Lonchura striata: one gene and its partner. The protein of the gene in region 1 purifies or fractionates together with the protein of each later gene. This does not show direct contact. Links are inferred from orthologs where the notes say so. Each region holds a gene or a part of one and is shown in the gene's direction. Other genes may lie near its edges.

The links.
Region 2: the proteins of TRIM33 (region 1) and SKIL purify together in Homo sapiens (affinity purification with western blotting; 4 studies listed by BioGRID and IntAct, with this or other methods). This does not show direct contact. The link is inferred for Lonchura striata from reciprocal best matches to the Homo sapiens genes TRIM33 and SKIL.

Annotation. Positions count from the first base shown.
Region 1 is NC_134632.1:1,999,260-2,010,766, forward strand, and holds the start of TRIM33 (E3 ubiquitin-protein ligase TRIM33), read left to right. Parts: upstream 1-6,305; coding exon 6,306-6,732; intron 6,733-11,507. Other genes in the region: BCAS2 (pre-mRNA-splicing factor SPF27), read left to right, coding at 108-200, 285-377, 644-714, 1,329-1,490, 2,157-2,207, 2,736-2,816, 3,307-3,436. UniProt on the Homo sapiens protein: Acts as an E3 ubiquitin-protein ligase. Promotes SMAD4 ubiquitination, nuclear exclusion and degradation via the ubiquitin proteasome pathway. According to PubMed:16751102, does not promote a decrease in the level of endogenous SMAD4.
Region 2 is NC_134612.1:23,034,347-23,045,979, reverse strand, and holds the start of SKIL (ski-like protein), read left to right. Parts: upstream 1-7,194; 5' UTR 7,195-7,304; intron 7,305-8,205; 5' UTR 8,206-9,008; coding exon 9,009-10,115; intron 10,116-11,633. Other genes in the region: PRKCI (protein kinase C iota type), read left to right, coding at 89-204, 954-1,041. UniProt on the Homo sapiens protein: May have regulatory role in cell division or differentiation in response to extracellular signals.

The DNA of each region.
Region 1 (11,507 bases):
GGGGGGCGGGGTTTGTTCTCGGGGGGCGGGGCTTGTGCCCGAGCAGCGCACCGCCCCGCCGGGCGTGACGTGTTTGCGCACGCGCAGTGCGCGCGGCCGCGGCCAAGATGTCGGGCCCGGGGCTGGTGGCCGGGGATGTCGTGGTGGATGCGCTGCCCTACTTCGATCAGGGCTATGAGGCGCCGGGCGTGCGGGAGGCGGTGCGTGCGGGGCCGCGGCGGCGGCGGGGAGGGGCCGGGGCGGCGGGCGGGCTGTCCGCCTGCCTGACGCCCCGTGTGCGATAGGCCGCGGCGCTGGTGGAGGAGGAGACGCGGCGGTACCGCCCGACCAAGAACTACCTGAGCTACCTGCCCGCGCACGACTACAGCGCCTTCGAGGTGAGCTGAGGCGGCCTGGCAGCTCCCAGAGCCCGGCCCGGTGCCCCCATACCCCGCCTGGCCCCACTCCGTGACCTGGCTGGGACAGACCCTGCCTGTCCCCGTCCTTGCCCCGTACCCCTCTCGTGTGCCCGTACCCCTCCTGTGTCTCTCCGCCCCTGCCCCGGCTGTCCCTCCGCCGTTATCCGTTTGTGTCCTGTCTCCATCGTGCCCGCTTGTCTCATGCACTGTTCCGCCCCTGTCCCTCACTGCTGCCTTCCCCGCAGACCGAGATCATGCGGAACGAGTTCGAGCGCCTGGCGGCCCGGCAGCCCCTGGAGCTGCTCAGTATGAAGAGGTGAGTGGGGCCGGCAGGGCAGTGCCTGTCCCGGGTGAGCCGTGCCCGGTGTCCCGGGTGAGCCGTGTTCAATACTTCGGATGAGCTGAGTCTAGTGTCCCAAGTGAGCCATGCCCGATGTTCTGGATGAGCTGTGCTTCATTTGAGCTGTGCCCGGTGTCTCGGGTGAACCGTGCTCAGTGCCCTGAGTGAGCCGTGCCCCAGTTGAGCTGTGCCCCAGTTGAGCCGTGTCCCATTTGATCCATGCCCGGTGCCCCAGGTGAGCTGTGCTCCATGTGAGCCATGCCCCATGTGAGCTGTGCCCTGGGTAATCCATGCCTGGTGCCCCAGGCGAGCCGTGTCCCAGGTGAGCCGTGCCCAGTGCCCCGGGTGAGCCATGCCTGGTGTCCCAGGTGAACTGTGCTCCATGTGAGCCGTGTCCTGGATAATCCGTGCCCGGTGCCCCAGGTGAGCCGTGTCCCAGGTGAGCTGTGCCCGGTGCCCCAGGTGAGCCGTGTCCCAGGTGAGCCGTGTCCCAGGTGAGCCATGCCCGGTGCCCCAGGTGAGCCATGGCCCAGGTAATCCATGCCCGGTGTCCCAGGTGAGCCGTGCCCGGTGCCCCGTTCCCTTTGCAGGTACGAGCTGCCCGCCCCCTCCTCTGGGCAGAAGAACGACATCACGGCGTGGCAGGAGTGTGTGAACAACTCCATGGCACAGCTGGAGCACCAGGCCGTGCGCATCGAGAACCTGGAGCTCATGTCCCAGCACGGCTGCAATGCCTGGAAGGTGTACAACGAGTAAGGCCTCAGCTGCTCTGCTGAGCACCAAGTTCTGTGTTGATTTCTGTTTGTTTATTGGGTGTAAATCCGGTGGGGATCTCTAAAATGTAGCCTGGAATAGATGAAATCCTGTGAGAGAGCTGTGAGTGAAAGAGGAGGCTGATCTCAAAGCTGTCTCTGTGGCCAAGAAACAGAATGTGTTTAATACATCCCACTCTTGAATGTTGTGGGTTATTGTTGATGCTGGTGGGTGTTAATTAAGGCTAGTGATAGCCTGTGAAGAAATAACTCACTAGTGGAAATGGAGATGAGTTACTACAGATCCTGGGCTTAGCCTGGAGCCATAATAAAGCTGCTGCAAAAGCTAAGAAGAGGTTGTAGAGTATGGCTGCAGGAAGTACTGGGGTTAATTCAGAGAGAGAATGTTAATGTCCACTTTTGAGAAGGGTTGGCTGAGCCTTAGATAGAAGAGTAGGTCAAAGGAATGCCAAACGTAGCTCAGGGAGAAGGCAGAGGGTTCCTGAGCTCAGGAGAAGGGAAGCAGGTAAAGGATCTGCTGGCTGGAACAAGGTGCTGCAGGGGCTTGTTGAATCCTGAACTCTGAGAAGTTAAATGTCAGATGAAATGGGGCTGAAATTTTAGCAGTTGTGTGTTTTTAATGCTTTGCTTGCATTCTGTCATCAGGCACCTGGTTCATATGATAGAACAAGCCCAGAAAGAGCTTCAGAAATTGAGGTGGGTCATTCTTATTTATATTTTTGTACTGAAATTGGAAGTGAACCTTTCTCTCCCCCCAAGCTGTACAAAGGAAGATGTGTATGCTGGCTGCTGCCATGGTCACAGGGAAAAAGACCCAGTAAAAACAATGATGAAGAAATGTGACCCTTCCCTCCCCAGTCCCATTCATCATGTCTGTTCTACTCAAAATTCTGTGTTTGATTTGTTTAAATCTCTGCTCTGGATTTGTGGAACCCTCCCTGAAATGTAGCAATGCTTTAATTTCACTACTGATAATTTAGTGTGCAATTGTCTCTGTAAGGACATCTTCCCTGATGTTGGGTTTGGCCTTTTACTTTTATTTATCTCAGGGCTCTTTGTGAGCCCTGTACTGAGATTTGTCCATCTGGATGTTGTCATTACAGTCCTGGCTACACAAATATTTTCTGGCAGTACTTCTAGGGATTGAGTGTACTTGGAAATTAGCAACAGGTACTGCAGATGCCAAAGAAATGAGGAAATAAAAATGCATCCTTTTCTCCCCAGGAAAAACATTCAAGACCTGAACTGGCAGAGGAAGAACATGCAGCTCACAGCTGGGGCTAAGCTGAGAGAGATGGAATCCACGTGAGTGTTGATATTTCTCGGTTAACCCTTCCACAGCTTTCTCCATTGCTTGAAATTTACTTGAAATTCTTCTTCCACTTGAAATTCAGTGATCCTTTGGTGCTGCTGTAGGATACTGTTGCTTTGCAGGAAGTGTTTTAAGGTATTTGTAGTTTGGTTCCATATTATATTTACTGAAATTGAGTGAATCAACAGGTAGGAAAAGAGTGTATTTATTAGCTGCTTCAAATTTCCTAAATTGTCTTAAACTGTTCTTTATCTCAATATTGGCAGTTGGTGGATGAGTCTAGTCATTACATTTTTTGTGTTTTCAGGTTTAACAGGGTTAAAAATTATTCATTGTCACTTCGGTTGTTCCAATGACCATTGATGTCAACTATAGCATTATTTGGTGTTTCTGCTAGATTTGAAGGAATGGTTGTCTTTGATTTTTAACCAGAGGACGTTTACATAACACCTAAAGGCTCTTTTTATTTCTTTTCCCTTCCAGGTGGGTCTCTCTTGTCAGTAAAAATTATGAGATTGAACGAACTATTGTGCAGCTGGAAAATGAAATTTCACAAATCAAGCAGCAGCATGGGGAAGCAAACAAGGAGAATATCCAGCAAGACTTTCAGTGACTTTATCCTGACTTATCTTAGTGCTGCATGTGTCAAAAACTGCAAACCTGACACTTTGGAGATGCTGTGTCTGTAGACACCTCTAGTTGCAGATGTGTGAGGTGGTAAAAGTATTTCCATCATTTCTTTTCCTTGTTTTAAATTCTAGAAAGAAGCAGGGTGGACTCAAAACATCATATTTAAGTGTGTCACAGGCACCACTCAATGTACTGTGAATTGTTTAACTTTTTATATACTTAAAGCAGGAGCTGGTGTTGTCATGTTTTCCCCTATGCCTTTAATAAATCCTGTTTTGCTATTTCTCTGGTTTCTGCTTCATGTCTAAAGCCTGGGAGCTGTGGAGGAGGTGGCTGGGCCAGGTGAACCCTGAGAATCTCCTGCAGGGGAAGTGGTGGGAAACTGGAATTTGGGCTGGGGAAGTCTCTGCAGCACTGGGCCGTGCAGTGCCCACTCTGGTGCCACTGTCACTGCAGTGGGCCCCAGCTGGGTAATAATTAGCACTGGCTGCATGATTCCCAGAAGGCTGATCAATCTCTTTATTATATTATATGATTATTAAGAAAGCCATTGCTTTTATAGACAGTTATGATACAGATTGACCTAATTGGTCCTCCAGTCCAAACACCGTCAGCATTGGCTAATTAAGAAACCACCCTTTGTTAAACAAATCTCCACAACACATTCCACATGTTCACAATACCAGTAAGATAAGAATTGTTTCTTATTCTCTGATCTCACAGACTTTCCCCAGGACGATGCCTGGGCAAGTTGTGTTTCTCTCTGTAGCCAGAGAGCTGCTGCCACATGCCACCACCTGCACTGTTCCTCATCCCAGGGCATAATTCCTGATCATCCTGCTCCCACTGGCTGTTCCCTGTCCCCATGCTCTGACTCCCATCCTGATGCACTGCTCCATGCCTCAGTTTCCTTTTCCCTATGCTGGTGTGCCATTCCCCATCCCACTGCTTGACTCATCTATCCCAGTGTGATATTCCCAATCCAGGTCTGCTGTTTCCTGTCCTGGTGCCCTGTTCCCCATCCTGGTCCATTATCCCCCATCCTGGTGCCCTATACCCATTTCCCACATCCCCATGCTTTGCTCCCTATCCCAATGGGTTATTCCCCCATCCCCACTGCATTATTCCCTTTCCCAATGGGTTATTCCCTATGCCAGTGCCCCATTCCCCCACCCCGCTGCAGTATTCCCTTTCCTAATGGGTTATTCCCTCATCCCCAGTGCAGTATTCCCTATCCCAATGGGTCATTCCTCCACCCCAGTGCATTATTCTATATCCCAATGGGTTATTCACTATCCTGGTGCATTATTCCCTATCCCAAAGGGTTATTCCCTATCCCAAAGGGTTATTCCCTATCCCGGTGCATTATTCCCTATCCCAAAGGGTTATTCCCTATCCCGGTGCATTATTCCCTATCCCAATGGGTTATTCCCTATCCCAGTGCCCCATTCCTCCACCCCAGTGCATTATTCTATATCCCAATGGGTTATTCACTATCCTGGTGCATTATTCCCTATCCCAATGGGTTATTCCCTATCCCAGTGCCCCATTCCTCCACCCCAGTGCCTTATTCCCTATCCCAAAGGGTTATTCACTATCCCGGTGCATTATTCCCTATTCCAATGGGTTATTCCCTATCCCGGTGCATTATTCCCTATCCCAATGGGTTATTCCCTATCCCGGTGTCCCATTCCCCCACCCCGGTGCGTTATTCCCTATGCCGATGGGTGATTCCCCTTCCCGGGTATTCCTCACTGGGTATTCCCCGCTTCACGCGTTATTCCCCGTCCCGGTGGGTTATTCCCCTCCCGCAGCGGTTATTTCCCAGCCTGTGTGTGTCATTTCCCGTCCGGAAGGGTTATTCCCCACCGCGCTGCGGTATTCCCCGTCCCGATGGGTATTCCCCAGCCCAGCGCGTTATTCCCCAGCCCGGTGCCCTGTTCCCTATTCCCGCTGCGTTATTCCCCAGTCCGGTGTTCTGTTCCCTATTCCCGGTGCCCTGTTTCCTATTCCCGGTGCGTTATTCTCCAGCCCCATGCTCTGTTCCCTATTCCTGGTTCCCTGTTCCCTATTCCCGGTGCGTAATTCTCCAGCCCAATGCCCGGTTCCCTATTCCCGGTTCCCTGTTCCCTATTCCCGGTTCCCTGTTCCCTATTTCCGGTGCCCGGTTCTCTATTCTTGGTGCGTTATACTCCAGCCCCGTGCCCTGCTCCCTATTCCCGGCGCCCGGTTCCCTATTCCCGGTTCCCTGTTCCCTATTCCCGGTGCGTTATTCCCCAGCCTGGTGCCCGGTTCCCTATTCCCGGTGCCCTGCTCCCTATTCCCGGTGCCCTGCTCCCTATTCCCGGTGCCCTGTTTCCTATTCCCGGCGCCCGGTTCCCTATTCCCGGTTCCCTGTTCCCTATTCCCGGTGCGTTATTCCCCAGCCTGGTGCCCGGTTCCCTATTCCCGGTGCGTTATTCCCCAGCCTGGTGCCCGGTTCCCTATTCCCGATGCCCGGTCCCTATTCCCGGTTCCCTGTTCCCTATTCCCGGTGCGTTATTCCCCAGCCTGGTGCCCGGTTCCCTATTCCCGGTGCCCGGTTCCCTATTCCCGGTGCTCCGTTCGCCATCCCCGTACCCGGGGGCGTTCCCGCGTGGGCGTGGCCACGCCCCTGCCTCCACCACCGCCCAATAGGATCGCACCCCAGGGCTCATAGCCCCGCCTCTCCGTGACGTCACGACCCGCCCTCCCGGCCGCGCCGTTGCCGCGGGAGCGCGCGCGCGTGCGCGGCGCCGTTCCCGCCCGGTCCCGCCCGGTGACGCGGTGACGCGGAGCGTGCGCGGAGCGGGGTCGGGTTCAAAGGAGGAAACATGGCGGAAAACAAAGGAGGCGGCGGCGGCGGGGACGCGGCCGCCGAGGCCGCGCCGGGCGGCGGCGGCGGCCTGGAGCCTCCCGCCGGCTCGCCGTCCGCCGCCGCGCCGCCCGAGGAGCGCGAGAGCCCCGGGGCGGCGGCGGCGGAGCGCGGCGGCGGCGAGGCCGAGGCCGAGGCGGCGGCGGGGCCCGGTGCGGCGGCGGGGCCCGGCCCCAGCCCGGTGCCGCCGCTGACGCCCGCGGCGCCGGGGCCGTTCTCGCTGCTGGACACGTGCGCGGTGTGCGCGCAGAGCCTGCAGAGCCGGCGGGAGGCCGAGCCCAAGCTGCTGCCCTGCCTGCACTCCTTCTGCCGCCGCTGCCTGCCCGAGCCCGAGCGCCAGCTCACCGTGCCCGTGCCCGGCGGCGCCAACGGCGACGTGCAGCAAGGTGAGCGCGGCGAGCGGGCTCCGCCGGGGCCGCCCGCCGCCCGCCCGCCGCAGCGCGGGGCTGGCCCGGCCCGTCGGGAGCGCGGCGTGCTGCGGGAGGCAGCGGCGGCGGGGCTCGGGACGGTCGGGCTCGGGACGGTCGGGATCGGGAGGGTCGGGATCGGGAACGCAGCGGCGGCGGGGCTCGGGACGGTCGGGATCGGTAGCGCCGATCGCGGCCGGGGGTTTCCGTCGCGGGCGGGAGGGAGGGAGGGACGCGGACCTGTTGGAGCGGGCAGAGTTGCTCGGAGGGTGGAGCAGCTCCGCTCTCGGGGAAGGCTGGGGGGATCGGGATCGTTCAGCCCGGAGAAAAGAGACCCTTCTCCCTCTCTCCAGGGAGACCCTAAAGCCCTTTTCGCTGCCTAAAGGGAGTCTGTAATAAAAATGGGGGCAGTGTTTTTGGCAGCACCTGTTGCGATAGGGCTGGGGATAATGGTTTTAAACTGGAGCAGGATCGGTTTAGATTAAGTGCAAGAAAGAAATGTTTACCGTGAGGGTGTTAAAACATCGGAACAAATTGCTCAGAGAGGCGGTGGAAACGTTCAGTGTCAGGCTGGACCAGGCTCTGAGCAACCTGCTCGAATCTAAGATGTCCCTGCTTGTGACGGGGGGGTTGCACTAATGACCTTTAAAGGCCCTTTCCAACAAGCAAATATTCTGTCATTCTCTCCTTCTGTGTGTTTTGTTTTGGCTCTCAGGTGACACAGCGGAGGCGAGTCGGGAAGGGGGTAGGCAGCTGCTGGGGTGAAACGTGTCTGGTTAAATTGAGATTCACTGTGGCAGGATTACCTGCCCAGGTGGGAACGCTGTGTGCACTGCACCTGCTTTGCTGTGCACTGAGATAAAACCTTGCCGTGCTGTTTGTCAGCTCTGCCTCTACGGAACTTGTACCAGGGAACAGGAGTACGCTGCTCCTTCTACCTGTTCTTAGCAGAACCACAGCTTGGGTTTGAGTTTTCTTTTCTAATATGTGTTCAGGGATGGAATTGAAAAGCTTCGGGAGCTTTAGATGGGGTGACTCATGGGCTGTGGTGTACAGAGCAAAGCAGGGCCCTGGTAAGTGGTTTTGCAGGTCCTAAATGGGCTCTATGGTCAGGGAGACCTTGTTTGGTGACATCTTTGCACTCAAGCCCTTCCTGTGTTCCCCAGTGAAGAAATTAACCTGGCACGGTAGAGATATTTTTCATCCAGACTGTTCAGAATTCCATATAGGATGTGATCTTAGTAAGTTCACTGGTCTTAAAAAAATGATGTATTTAAATATGGTTTGCCAATGCACTCAGTAAAGCACTCAGATGGTCTTGCGATCTGTGTTTTTAAATTCCAGATTCTACATTTTGTGTTAAATCATAGAGTGACAGAGTGATTTGGTTTGGAGGGGGCTTTAAAGCTCATCCAGTCCCACCCTGCCCTGGGAAGAGACAACTTCCATTGTCCCAGGTTGTTCCAAGCCCCATCCAGCCTGGCCTTGGACACTTTCAGGGATCCAGGGGCAGCCACAGCTGCTCTGGGCACCTGTGCCAGGGCCTGTCCACCCTCACAGGGCAGTGATATGCCAGTGAAACACACAGAACTTGGGAAGCAGTGTTTCTTTTAATTAGCAGGATTATCTTGAGTCCTGCTGTGTCTGTGGGAGGTGTCCTCCCCACAGGTGCGGGAACCACTGTGTACAAACTGGAATATCACTTCTTGTTGTACACATGTTAAGAATGTTTGTTGGTGTGCTTTGGTGTAGAAATAGATCATGTATGGACTGTTGGAATAAAATGTTTTGGGTGATGTGAGCAAGGTGCAGGGGTCTGGAGCATCTTTGATGTCAGGAAAGACTGTGGGGCTGAGGCTGTTTAGGCTGGAGAAGGGAAGACTGAGAGGGGATCCCATCAATCCATAGGAATATTTCCAGGCTGGGGCAGAAGAAGGTGTCAGGCTCTTTCCAGTGGTGCCCAGGGCAGAACAAGGAGCAATGGCCATAAATTCTAACACAAGGAGTTCCACCTGAATGAGAAAGAAGTTCTTTCATGGAGGGTGGCAGAGCCCTGGAGCAGCTGCCCAGGGAATGGGTGGAGTCTCCCTCTCTGGACACATTCCAAACTCACCTGGACACATTCCTGTGTGTCACCTGCTCCAGGTGGCCCTGCCTCGGCAGAGGGCTGGACTGGGATCTGATCTGCAGAGGTGCCTTCCAACAGAGGTGCTGTTGTGGGAGTGTCCTGTAGGGCTGTGGATCCAGCTGTGGTGGCATCTCATCCTGCACCAGCACAGGAACTGGCAGCTATATCCTCATGGCTCTTCTTGTTCCCTGGGTATTTATGGTATTTAATCCTTGTTTCCTTAGGGAAATAGCAAATGCTTTTGGGCAAGAATTTGGCTGGAGTCAAATATTTCCAATTTCTAGAGGGAATCTCCCAGGGGACTTTTAAAGAAAAATTTGTTTCTTTTATATTTGGTGCTTTCCAGTTGGGATGAAAAGTACACCCTGAAATACAGTAGGACTGGCTCATCCTCAGCTGAGGATGGGCCATGGACCAGCAGAGGCATTTTTGTGGGCAGCTCTGTGCACCTTGAGAGTGGAATCAGTGGAGTGGCATGGGAGATGGTTACCAGCAGCTCAGATAGAAAATGGACATTCTGAGCCTCCTGAGAAGCAGCACAGTGCTTCGTCACGCAGGTTCCTTCCCCGTTCTGGCAGTCACAAAGTGTACTTCCACTTCTGCTGATTCTCAAGTTTCCTTCATGACGAGCAGGTGCTCTTTCATGAAGGAAGAATGAAGGAGAAGTGGTGCCTGTAGCTGTACCTGAGGCAGGTTGCACGTTGCTGCAGGCTCTCACTGCTGCATCGTGTCCCTGCCATCTTTCTGCATCTCTTCACATAAACCAGAAAAGTACAAATGATATTTTTCCTGGTTGCTTTCTTAATTAGTTTGGGAGTTTGCTCAGTGAGAGCTGTCAGGACTTAAAACAGTAGAATATGTGTATTTATTGGGTAAAAGCTGTGGAAATGGAATGGGAGGTTGGTGCCCACAGGGCAGTTCTCTGAGTGGCAGCACCTCCCCTGGTGCAGCTCCCTCTGCCCTCCTGGAGAGAGTGATGCTGGGCCTGGGTCAGCATCTCTGCTCCCTTCAGAGCCACTGCTCAAGAAGGCAGAAGAATCATCTCAGTTCCTAAAAGTTAAAGAACCCCTGACTAAAGCTTAAAACAATTATCTGAAGTTGTGGTTTGCTGTATTAAAAACAAGTTCTTGGTGGGACATACCTATTTTGCTGGTGAAGAAGGTTTATTTTGCTGTTGACTACATTTATGTAGGGGAAAAAGAGAAGAGTCTTGTTTCATATATTTAAAGCATATGCATTTGTTTAACATGAAAAGTGGTATCTCATATTCAGTTTAATTTCTTAATTGGTTAGGGGAATGTGCATTTTATTTGGTGGATAGATGATTTTGTATGGTGTTTCAGCAGTCCAGCTGGACTTGTTCTTTCAGGTTGAAGAGGTTACAAAAAATGCCTGCATTTGTATCACTGTATTCTGAAAAAAAAGCTGATTTCTAAGTTATTTCAGGCTGTAACAGATACTGTAAAACAACTTTTTCTGCACCCACTGCTGCTCCTGCTCCTGGAGGAGAGGTTGTTTTGTGGTTTCACTGCCTGGATGAGATATTTACAATCTCTCTAAAGAAGATTATCTGAGTAGAGAGAGCTTAGGGCTCTCCCAGCTCCTTGGGAATGTCACAGTTATGATTAGGCTGAAAAACCAAATGAGCTGAAAACCCTCCACAGTTGGTTGTGTGTGTAAACCGAGGAACAAAACATTTACTACCCAGAGCTGTGATGTACCAGAAACTGGTTTGATGTGCTGAATCCAGCTCCTGCACCCAGTGTTGCTGTGTTGTATTAATCACACCTGAATTTTTTTGTTTTTTTTTTAATTTGCTGTGAGAGGAGGACATTAAAGTTCTGATGTGTATGAGGATGTGGCATGTCCCTTACACTGAGTTTGGTGGTAGATACTGTATTTTCAGTCAAGAAGAATGAAAATTCCTGCATCAAATAAGGTTCTTTAAGCTGTGTAAATGCAGCATCTTAAGTTTTATTAAACTGGATGTGACTAGACATCACCTGAACTCTCTTGATTCTTTACTTTTCTTCTGTGTTCATAAGTGAGGCTCATGAATATATGCTGGAGCCCCGCATGAGTCTGGAAATGCTCAGTTCATAATCTGGGCTTACTAAAAATCTTGCTATGAAACTTACATTTCTGTCTAAATTAATAGTGTATTGTAAAATATTTCCATCAGTGAACATTAAGGCATGTGTTATTTTTATAAAAATTATCTGTGGCAGCTGTAATTTTTTTTTATTATTAAATATAATATATTGTCAGTTCAGTGTGTGATAATTGCCATAGAGTCAAGGATTGTTCAAAAAACAAAAAAACTGAGTTAGGAGTGGACCTTGAAAGCAGGTAATTTTTAAAAATGTATTTTTAATCTGACAGATTTCAATCTGATTGTATCACTCCCTTGAACTGTGAGGATTTGTTTCAAGGTCTAATCACTGAGATTAGAGCAGGTTTTGATGTATGGCTGTGCAGAAACATGCTTGGACCCTTGCAGCGCTAAGAGAAATAAATATTATGCACGTGGAGTTACTACTATTGGAGTTGTCACCCAGTAAATGGGACCTGGCAGAGATTCATTCCTGAGAGGGCTGGTGCCCTGCCAAACCAGAACGGAAGCTGG
Region 2 (11,633 bases), on another chromosome or scaffold:
AAACTTAATAGTAATTTCCAGTCTTGTTTAAAAATAATTCAATAGGTTGTAACTTATTCTCAGTATGACTAAGTGCATTTATTCTTAGATGGAGCAAAAGCAAGTGGTGCCTCCATTTAAACCAAATATATCTGGAGAATTTGGTCTGGATAACTTTGATTCCCAATTTACCAATGAACCTGTGCAGCTCACTCCAGATGATGAGTAAGTAATGCAGCATTTAAGAAGTTTAGAGAAGAGAAGCTTTTTTTACTTGTTTTATTTTTTTTTCACTTTTACTGTGTTTTATATTGTTAGTAGTCAGGTGAGATTCTCCTGGCTGAAAAGCCTTTATAAATGCATGAAATGTGCTTGATTTTGGTAGTGGATTTGTGGTTGCTTACTCTTGAGAGGGCCTGATTCCTGATATGGGATGGGGAGGGGAAGCACCTTTCTAGTTTGATTGAACTGCTTCTGTTCACATTTTAGGATTATAGAGGTTTATATAACATTCACATTGTATATAAATATAAACTGTGTATATTAAATGTTACCTATGCACCTTAATCAGTTCTGCAATCCAACTTCCTTCCTCATCCCTTTCTAAATACAGACTGTACAAATTATGTTTAGAAAAGTTGCTGATGCAGGTGCAGTATCTATCACATCCTAATGTTTTCAGGTCCTTACAAACCTGACTGTTTAGGGCAAGTTTTGAAACTGCAAGCCTTGCAGACTGCTTTGTGAGTCAGTGAGTGAAGCCCAGTCACTGCTTTTGAGGGGTTTTGTGTTTTGGTACCATTATTGGGCTTAAAAAAACCCAGTGGTAACTGTAAAGGTAGAGAGGAACAAAAGAGGGAAGGGCAATTTTCTCAATTGCAGTCCACTGAACAGTTTAAATTTTAAGTCAGACTATCAGTTAATGTTATCTTTTTAATTTTGCTCAACTAATGATTGTTTTTTAATCCTAATAGTGATATTGTGAAGAAGATTGACCAGTCTGAATTTGAAGGCTTTGAATACATAAATCCTCTTTTGATGTCAGCTGAGGAATGTGTCTGAATTCTCCATTTCTGAACTGTGCCAATTGTTACTCCATTTTTTTCTGCATGGATAAACATCTCTCCATTTGGATGCACTTGCATAAAATGAGTAACTCAACATCTTGCCCTTGCCACCACCTAGTGTGTGAATTTTCTTTTTGTATTGATTGTTGTCCAGGATAGTTGTTATGCTGAACCTTCAGCTGCCAGATTGAAAATGTTAGAACTTTCTAACAATTTTGCCAAATTTGAATTTTAATACAGGAGCTGGTTTCTGGGGCTCCTGACTGAACAAAGTTTCTGACTGTATAGTTTGCCAGTATAGTGTTCTGAGCAAGGAAAGGTTTTCAGTGCTTAATGAAAACAAATTGCATCAGGTAACATAGTAAATTAAGGTAACATAGTAAATTATCCTTCAAGGATTTCAGATTTTTCAGCAAGATGAGCAAGAACTTACCACTTCTGTAGTTCCAAATCTCTTCTCTCTGAACATCTGATTTCCCTGTTCTACATATAGAAATTAGAGCTTTGTTCATGCCCTTCAGACTGAGAAGACAGCAAGGAGAGCAGATATTTACACTGAATAGGTCAAGACTGGCTGCTTTCATGGAGAATATTGATCCTACCATGAAGGAGACTATTAACTCCATATCAGAATTGGTAGACTTTGCTCCAGCACTCACACTAGGAATTGTACACTGATACAAAGAGTGCCTTCCTAGGCTGGACCTTTCAGCAAGGGTTGGACATGGCATCAAGTGTCAGTTTAATTAAAAATTCAGTTAACTCTTGGAGAAGTTAAAATCTGTACAGAGTAATTCAGCAGTAATGGGCAGCTAATACTGAACCTCATGCTATTTATTGCTTTTATACTTGCTGTCTTAACTGCATCAGAAGTGCACACGGTACAGCCCAGCCTGGAAAAGGGCATCAGTTCCTTTTTTATCTTACTGCCACACTGCTGAGAATGAGTTCCACTTTGCCAGTGGAAAAAGCATATCTAGAATAAAATAGGTGCTGTCCACAATGACTCCCTTAACTTCTGCCCTTAGGGATGGTGATCTGTACTTACAATCAAACCTGAAATGTTGGTAGCAGGCTCAAGGAAAGCAATTGAAAGAATGGGTCTAAGGATTAGGACTAAGAGATGTGTTTCTTACATTTCATGTTAGTAAGCAGTGTAATATACAGCACAGATAATTCTTATTTTTAATGCTAAAGCTATAGTTATGAATGTGTTGGGCTGAAGGAATGCCAAACGTACCACTTTTTTATTATTGTTTTGGGGAAAAGGGATTAAGAGACATTGAGGAAAGGAATCTGTATTATGTAAGAGCTGTAAGAGAAGATAAGTGTCACTGGAAGCAGATCTGAGAATCTGTAAGCACAAGTTGGCAAGCATTATCTGAGGCTTTTAGTAGACTTGCTTGGCCAGTGTCTTTCTGTGAAAATCCTCATATGGCAACACTAATTTCATAGCACAAGTTTTCTGGTGTATGTCTGTTCACTTCCATGTCAGCTGCAAGCAGAGAGATTGCACAAATCCACGCTGGTGTCATGGTATGAGATTTAGTTATTGTTTTTCTTTGCAATGTGAATAAGAAACTCCTTGTTATTGGGCTGAGTTTCCAAAACTGATAAGTGATTTGATGGGCTTCAGTTTCAGGGAAGTGTGGAACCTCCTCACTGTTAAAAATCAGGTTTCCTAAAGTTAAAGTTGTATCTTTTCAAATGTAAAATATGAGCGTGAACCTTCCTTTACAAAGCAGCTAATAGGGTCAAGTGAACTGCACTATGTGCAGTTTGAAAATGGTGATTTTTTAGCCTCTGACTCCTGTACCCACATGATCAGTTTAGACATCAGGGCATAACTGATATTAAACCTGGGAATCATTTAAAACAAACAAGAAAAGCCTTGCCTCTACAGTGGCATAATTTCCTACAGGGTATTAAAGGAAATGGCTTTATGTAAGAAATGACATTTCTGCCATTCATCACAGAAGAGTAAAGCAAAAATTAATTTTTTGTGTAATGTCACAGAAAAATTATTTTTTCTATTTACATATCTAACCATTAAGAATCTTGCAGTGACAAATACCTTAAATTACAGTAAATCTATTTTTAAACTTTAATTTTCTCCAAAGTGCCATGATATTTACTATTATTTTTCATTGTTAAGCATACAGAAACTGTCATAAATATTCAGAAGGGACATTAGGTGTAAACAGTCCAGTGCAGTAGCTTTTGTTTTTTGGAGAACGTGTCTGCATCAGAAGCATGATGTATTTATGTGGAGTAACCTCTTTTTTGTACACGAGTTGGATTCCTATGGGTGCTCTGCTAGTTAATATTGTCACTACTATTTTCCTGTTTCATGTGGAATATCGTCTTGAACGTTGTTGTGTAATCATTTCCTTTATTTGTGCACACTTTTTACGTTAAATAAAACATTTATATTCAACCTCAGAGAAATCTCAGAGAAATACTGTGAAATGCTGGTCTTGGGATCATCGTCTAACCCTTTTAAACTGTCCATATCCCATGGGAATCTTGTTCTGATCTTTTCATTTCTTGTAGAAAATTGCACTGGGATGGGCCACAGCAACCCAAGAAATGCCTTTCTTACCCTGCATTTACCAAACATGTCTGAGAATGCAGGTTCTGCTCCAGCATCATTCCCTAGCCTCATGCTCATCTAGTCCTTTGGAAAAACACCATCCTTGTAGGTTCTTTCCTTCCAACACCAGTGATGAGACAAAGCAGTGAGGCATCCATCCTCTGCACAGAGATAGAAATCTTAAAGGAAAATACAAAATGTTACTTTAGCCTGCTCATCCAAGGACTCTTTCAGCGCTGGAGTTCGTACATCATCTCAGCTGCCAGAGCTGGGATTTGGAGTTCAGAGCAACGCTCTTGTCTGCTGCACTTACTTCTGCATGATTTATTTCTTTGTTTCTTCAACTCCTCCCCTGCATTCTGGGATTTCTGACACAGAGGGTGATGGCACAGATGCAGTGGTTTAATTTCTGTATTTCAGTATCTTTTAAAAGAGATTTTGTCTTGCCTCAGCACGGGTGTGCTTCGGCAATCCTGGCGAGTGCTGCAGATGGCTGCATATCTTCCATGCTTAACCTCCCCCCACGCACGCTCCCTGTTTCTGTTCTGTTGGGTGCCCAGCTGCTCTCGCCTCAGTCTGAGCAATTGTTTATGCTGAGGCACTCTATGGAGGAAGCTGATAGCTTGGATAATCTATACATACACTTGGTAAGTGCTAAGCAAGCGTCCTCACTTCAGCATGGATGGTGTAAGGCATTGAAGCAGCAGAGGTATCTGCAACTGACCACAGAATTATGTTTTCCTGGGAAGAGAGAAGGTAGGGGTTGGAGCCCCTTTGAGAAAAAACAGATTTTACCATATCTTGCATTTTTTCGCAGAGAGATCCCCCATGTGTTTATTTTAATTTTTTTTTTCTGCTTATAATAAAGGGATCTGGACTGAATACTTGAAAGGTGGATTCTTACCATTTAATCACCAATAACTGAAAGCAGAGCAGTGTCTACATCCCAGGTCTGTGCAGCTTTTGTGGGAGGTGGCTTTTCCAGGCATAAATAGCAGGAATCTCTTGTGTCCATGTTTCATTTCTAAGGATGAGTAAAGTGTCTGGGCTTATACTCTTAGATCAGAGGAATAGTTCAAGTCCTTCATGAGCTGAAGTGTTTTGTGCACTGTCCCCACTGTGACTTGTCCAGCAGGATGTGGTGTCTGCCAAAATCTATCAACTTTTTCTGCTTAAAACACAACCTGTAATACAATATCTGTTTTGCAAGAATGAAACCTCCTATGACAGATTAGCTAAGTGTGAACTGTTACAACTTACTATTAAACATGACTACTAATTTTTTTTCTTTAAAAAGTACGATATCATCTCATCAGAGACGAAAATGCATGGTCTTTGTTCACAGTTAAATTGTGCTCTCCAGGGCATAGTTCATAGTTAAATTGTGTATCTTCAGGGACTGTGCATCAGGGAAGTTTGTGAGCTTCCCCAGAGCCTCAGCATTTCTTTAAAATTCAGACACTTTATTAATCAAATCAAGATTCCTCCTGTGCTATTAGTGCACTTTATTACCACTTGCAAAAGTCTGTAACTCAGGTTTTAGTTATGCAGTGTCTTCAGAACTGCTTTTCACAGTCCACAGTAGAAATAGGCAGAGCTAACACCTTTTTTTAGACAATCCTCTACCTACAAACTTTGTCTTCCATCGCCTGATTATTGTAGCTCTATAGCAACACTATCATTACAGCACAATAGTTACCAGGCTTTGTAACCTGAAATGGAACATTTCTGCGGCAGAACTTGAAAAAAATCAACAAATTACACAATGCCACTGGATCCTAAGCTTCCATGACATCAGCACGTCTAATAAAAGATGAAATATCTGCCTACATATGCTGCCTTCCTCACAGACATTGATCAATCCAGCTGCAATGTTAGACATTACATTTTCTTCAGTAAATTTGAAAGGGATTGTGACATAGTGCATTTCACTGATTGGTATTCAAAGAGGCTTTTTTTAAAACAATCAGGTCATAAAGTCCAAGAGGGTGAAGCAGACAGGAATGTCTAGAATGTCTATACAATTCCCTCATAGGTTCATACCTTTTCAGAATCAGCTCCAAAAGCTGGTGCATTCAGAAATCTTGTTTATTTCTGCCACATTGTTGTGGCTTTTAAACAGACCTTATATCTGCTTAATAAATAAGTAGTGGGTGTTAGTATTCTTTGCAAAAACGTTTACTTTTCTATAAAACCCTGATGGTTTGGCTTGGAAAAGGCCTTAAAGATCACTCAGATCCAACGAAATTGTAGATATTGTTGCAGACACCGCAACCGATGCGGTGGTTTGAGAAAGAGGTGACTGCTGAAGCAGCTTTGAAGTGATGCTCAAGGGCCTCTCCATCAGCGACCCCGCCCAGCCCAGAGGAAACCTGAGCATATCAAAGGTGCGAAATCAAGGATTAAAGAGCACCAAACGCCTCTGTCAGCAGATCAGCGGGGCAGGTTCTGTGCCATAATCCTCCTGGGACGGCATTAGGGAACGGCGCGGAAGGGATCAGGGATCCCGCCGGCCGGTGCGAAGCGGTGCCTGGTGCTTGTACAGCTGCCCCATTTTCATGTGCCGTGCTTTTGTACTCGCATCAAAATATGTAACTGTGTGGGATGAAAGGAAACGGCAAATTGGATCGCGCCGTAATCCCAGCTGAAGCGCTGTCTTCACAAAGATGTAAACTGAAAAGCTTTGGGCCTCTTGCAGGCGGAAGAAACTTGTAATACATGAACGAGCTGTACAGCGACTAAGCTGTCCCTGAAGAGCATCTTCCCCGCCTCTCCGCGGTTCGATCGCTTCGTTTCCCAAAATATCTCCCGCGAGCCTGTGGCTGGAGGGAGCGGTCCGTGCCACGGCTTCGGGGCCCCTCACACGGGCCCGCCTTCCCCGCGCCTGCCCGCCCGAGCACAGCCCGCCCTCCTGGGGACCCTCGCTGGGGACAGCACTGTGAGACCCCTGCCAGGGACGCTCCGTGGGGGACAGTCACTCGAGGGCTTTCACTGAGGGACCATCTTTTTGAGGGGCAGTCAGTGAGGGATCCTCTGCGGGCGCCTCGCTGCGGGGCAGTCACTAAGGGGCGGTCACGGAGATCCCCCCGCTGGCGGCCTCTGCCCGGGGCCGCCGCCGCGCCTCAGGCGGGCGACACGCCCGACGGGTCCCCGACAGCGCCCGGCTTTTCCCCTGCTGCCATGGCCGCTTCCCTTCCCCGCCCCAGCTGCAGCTGCCGCTCCGTCCCGTCCCTCAGCCGGCCCCTCTCGGCCGCCGACGGCGGAACGGCGGCAGGGCGGCGCGGGGCAGGCTCTGACCGGGCGGGCTGCGGGGAAGCCGGGCAGAAACAACACTTTTCCATGCGTATTCACTTTTTAGTGTCTATTACACAAAGATCTGTTTTATTTTTATTTCTCCTCCTGCGCCTTCCCCGCGGGCGGCAGCGGGGGGAAGGCCCGGCCGGGTTTCCCGGCGCTGAGGCGGCGGCGGGCGGGGGAGGGGCGGGCGGGCGCTCCCGCCGCTGCCCCAGACAGTGGGCGGGGCCGGCGCGCGCCGCCGGCGGGTTCGTGCCCGCGCGCCGCCGCCGCCGCCGCCGTCTCGGTCTCCGCAGTGAGGTCACGGGTGGGCGGCGCGAGCGCGGCGCCTGTTCCGCTCCCCGCGGCCGCCGGAGCCCCCGCGGCGCCGGGTGAGCAGCCGGGGAGCTCGCTGGGAACGGCGGGGAGCGCGGCGGCGGAGCCCTGGGGGGAAGGGCGGGAGCGTCCGCCGGGGGATGGGAGGGAGCGGCGGCGCGGGGGCGGCGGGGAGAAGGGGAGCGGGGTACCGGCGTTGGGAGGAGGGGAGGGACACGGGGGCGGCGGAGCGGCGCGGTACGGCCGGGGACGGCGGGGAGCCGGGCAGGGCGGAGGGGCGAGCCCGGCGGCGGGAGGGGGAAGGGCTGAGCCCGGAGCGGTGCCGGCGGGGCCGGGGTGAGTCACGGCGCGGGAGGGAGCGGCGGCGTGCGGCGTCCCGGGAGGGGCCGCGGGGCGAGGGGTCGGTGCCCGGGATGTGGGGGCCGGTGCCCGGCTCGCCGGAGCGCCCGTTCCTTTCGGGCGTGCACGCCGGCAGAGCCGCTCCGGACCGCCCCCTCCCCCGCCGGTATCGCTCATCGGTCGGGGGCTTGTCCCGGTGTTCCGCAAGTTACTGGGAAATGCACCCTGCCTCTGGCAGGCAATCCCGGTGGTTTGGGCTGCAGGGGGCCTTAAAGCTCATCTCCTTCCAGCCCCCCCACCCCGCCATGGGCAGGGACACTTCCACTATCCCAGGCTGCTCCAAGCCCTGTCCAACCTGGCCTTGGACACTTCCAGGGATGGGGCAGCTGCAGCTTCTCTGTGCAGCCTGTGCCACTACCTCACTGCTATCACCGAGAACAATTTCTTCCTTGTATCAAATCAAAACCTTCCCTCTCTCAGTATAAAGCCATTCCCTCTCGTCCGCTGACTCCTGTCACACTTTCACCTGTGTCAAAAGTCCCTCTCCAGTCCTTTTTACCCCTTTAGGTACAGAGCAAACTCTGGGATTGCTTGTGATCAGCCATCTCTCTTTCACAGGTTATCAGGAAGGACGAGCAGAACTCTGTGCTAGCACACGACATGCATCCAGCCCATGGCCTGGATCTCACCTCTATTACTAATAACTTGGGCTGGGAAAATTCTGACACACGCCAGTGACATCTGGGCGAAAGGTGACTCTCTAGGGACGTTTAGTTTTTGCCGTCGGTCTGGATCAGCCTTTAATTTTAGGATTTATTTGTGAACTGCCATAATAGCTGTCACGGTGGTGGTGGTGAAATCATAAAGCTGGCAGCACAATAAAGCAAGCCCTTAAGATTGTGTTTGATCTCTGGGAGCTAAAAGTGCTGAATAAAATTTTCATACAACGTAAACTACGTTTTGGATCAGTTTCGTTGAGATTGACATTCTTCTAACTGAGCCCATTTTTCTATTTTATTATTTAAATAGAGACTTATTTGAAAAGACAGTATATTTTTTAAAGGAAAAAAAAACGATTGAGGATGAACACCCATCAACGCATCGTTTTTTACTAAATTGCTGAACAAGACTACTGTGTAAAGTAGTGGCTAGGGTATGAAGAAAACCTTTTGTATACATATTGCATTGGGGTTTTTATATTATGAAATTTAACAAATAGCTAAGAAAATAGTGTAACCCCCTTCGTTAGTAGTTTTACAGAATTACATACAAAATGGGTTACAATTTTTACTGTTGAATGCTGAAGAAGATGTTTTAGGGAAAGGAGCGTGCAGCTCCAAGATCACATGAAACTATTTTTTATATAAAAAGTAAGAAAATGCACATTCAAGACTGGCTTAATTAAAGCTCAGTGTTCAGCAATGGAAAGCCCACAGATAAACTTCCCTCTAGGTCTGGTTTCAGACCAAAAAAGAAGCAGGATCCAAGAGGATGGGAGTCCTCCACTGAAAAAAGCAATGACTGAAATGCATGTAAATAACAAAGTACAGGTAGTAATAAATAAATTGCCAACAATAAAGAAGGAAAACCTGGATGACTATGATGAAGCTCCGGTGGAGGCTGATGCGGAAACCGCCAAGCCAAACAGTGCTTCACTATCTGAGCCTTTGAGTTTAAATCCAGGTTTGAAACACACGTTGGCACAGTTCCACCTAAGCAGCCAGAGTTCACTGGGTGGACCTGCGGCTTTCTCAGCTCGGTATTCCCAGGAAAGTATGTCACCCACTGTCTTCCTGCCTCTCCCATCACCACAAGTCCTCTCTGGTCCGCTGCTCATCCCTCCAGACAGCTCCACGGAGCTCACGCAGACCCTGCTGGAGGGGGAATCCATCTCTTGTTTTAAAGTCGGAGGAGAAAAAAGACTTTGCCTGCCTCAAGTATTGAATTCGGTTCTCCGAGACTTTTCCTTGCAGCAGATCAACACGGTGTGTGATGAGCTCTATATCTACTGCTCAAGGTGCACTTCAGACCAGCTGCACATTCTGAAGGTTTTGGGAATTCTTCCGTTCAATGCTCCGTCCTGTGGGCTCATTACGCTGACGGACGCTCAGAGACTATGCAATGCTTTACTGCGCCCTCGCACTTTCCCCCAAAGTGGCGGTTTCCTCCCTGGTAAGAACACCTTGGCCCAGCTGAAAGAGACTGGCAGTGCCTTCGAAGTAGAGCATGAATGCCTGGGCAAGTGCCAGGGGTTGTTTGCACCTCAGTTCTACCTTGCCCCGGATGACCCGTGTATCCAGTGCTTGGAATGCTACGGGATGTTCTCACCCCAGACCTTCGTGATGCATTCACACAGATCCCCAGACAAGAGGACCTGCCACTGGGGGTTTGAGTCGGCCAAGTGGCACTGCTACCTGCACATTAACCAAAAATACCTGGGCACATCAGAAGAGAGAGAGCTGAAGCATCTCTTGGAGGAAATGAAGGAGAAATTCAGCGAGAAAAATCAGAAAAGAACTCGGTCCAAAGTAAGTTCACCTGGTGTAAAATTCCCAGATCTCTTTCTGCTCGCACATAAATACTTGTTTTAGAAGCGCATTACTTGGCTTTTCTAAGTGGGAATACTTGTCACATCAAGCCTAAGTTAAATCTGTGTGAGCTTCACCATGGAAATAACATTTCTCATTAAGAGAGGTGGTAATTTCTTTCCTCTTTGGGCTGCAAGTAACCATTTGAGGTGGCTTGGCTTTGTTGGTTCTTGTTCTGTCCTAAAGTATACAGACTCTGGAAAATTCAGGCTATTGTGAAAATTTTCATTCTCCCGTTTGACCTTTGAGTAGGTTTTAATGCAGCGTGTGCTGCAGCAGCTGAGCAAAGCAGAAAGGAGCTTGAAAATCAAGCATTACAAATGAATTCTTCATTTGTTGTTTGTACTCCAGCATGCACACGTGGGCTGGATGGCAACCTGGCTTGCTGGCCACCCATCTCATGACTTGTGTGCAGGGTAATGGTGCTTAGCTAAATGGCTATTTAGAAGCCCAAAGTCTGCTTGTTCAGCAAGAGCTTTCTGTTTAAACCACTTGTGCAGTGAAATATGCCAAAAAGAGGGGGTTTTAAGCAGCCCAAGTAATGAGCTGTGGGCCGGTATCTTGACAATAGTTAATAATAGACATCTTATTTTTTCCTAAAATACTGCTGCAAGTCTGTGCTGTGGTTCCAAAATACAGAGCTTATTTGTCCCTTGGAGAGCTTCTACTTTAAATAATAGGACAAGTAGCAGAGAAACATTAATATTGTAGATGTTCCCATTCATAGAAAGCACAATTTTGGGGTATAATTTAAACTTTTAATGGTTTCTGCCCCATGACAGTTTCTTTTCAGTGTATTCAGTGTTTCTGTGTCTGTTTGATGGCTGCTGGTTTGATGATAAATCCATGTTGCCTGTTGGATGTTTTGTGGTGGATTTCAAAATAGCAGCAAGAGCAGCGCAGATGGTTGAGCCCAAAAAGGGGTGCTATGAGCTGACACCTTTCAGCACAAATTTCTGAAAAGTTGGTTTTGCAGGAAGGCTGACGGTAGTAACAGGTATTGTTACAGTGGTGCCAGTCTGCAGGAAGAGATTTTACCAGCAGATTCCCATGGAAGTCTGCAGTATGGCATGCTTCCACATGCTGAATTATTTGAAGATGCAGTCTCCTAGCAAAGAGATTTTGCTTTTCAACTGATAAAGACATGTCAGTCTTTATTCTTGCAATGCCAGTGTAGGAAGTGGACTACAGCATGGTGGATACATCAGTGGAAATAGTTTTCCATGTTCACACCTATAAGTGCTGCTTCTCTTCCCACAGCAGCACATTTCAGACAATGAGATCTTTCAGTTTCATGTGCAAAGATGAAAAAACCCAGCTGGAAAGAGCAGTGGCAGTAATTTGGACTGGACTGGTGCAAATGAAATTGTAAAACTTTCTGTGGTCTTGTGTTGCAGACCCGTGTAATTCTTTCTTACAAAGCAACATGTGAAACCAGAGTCAGAAGCTATGAAAACC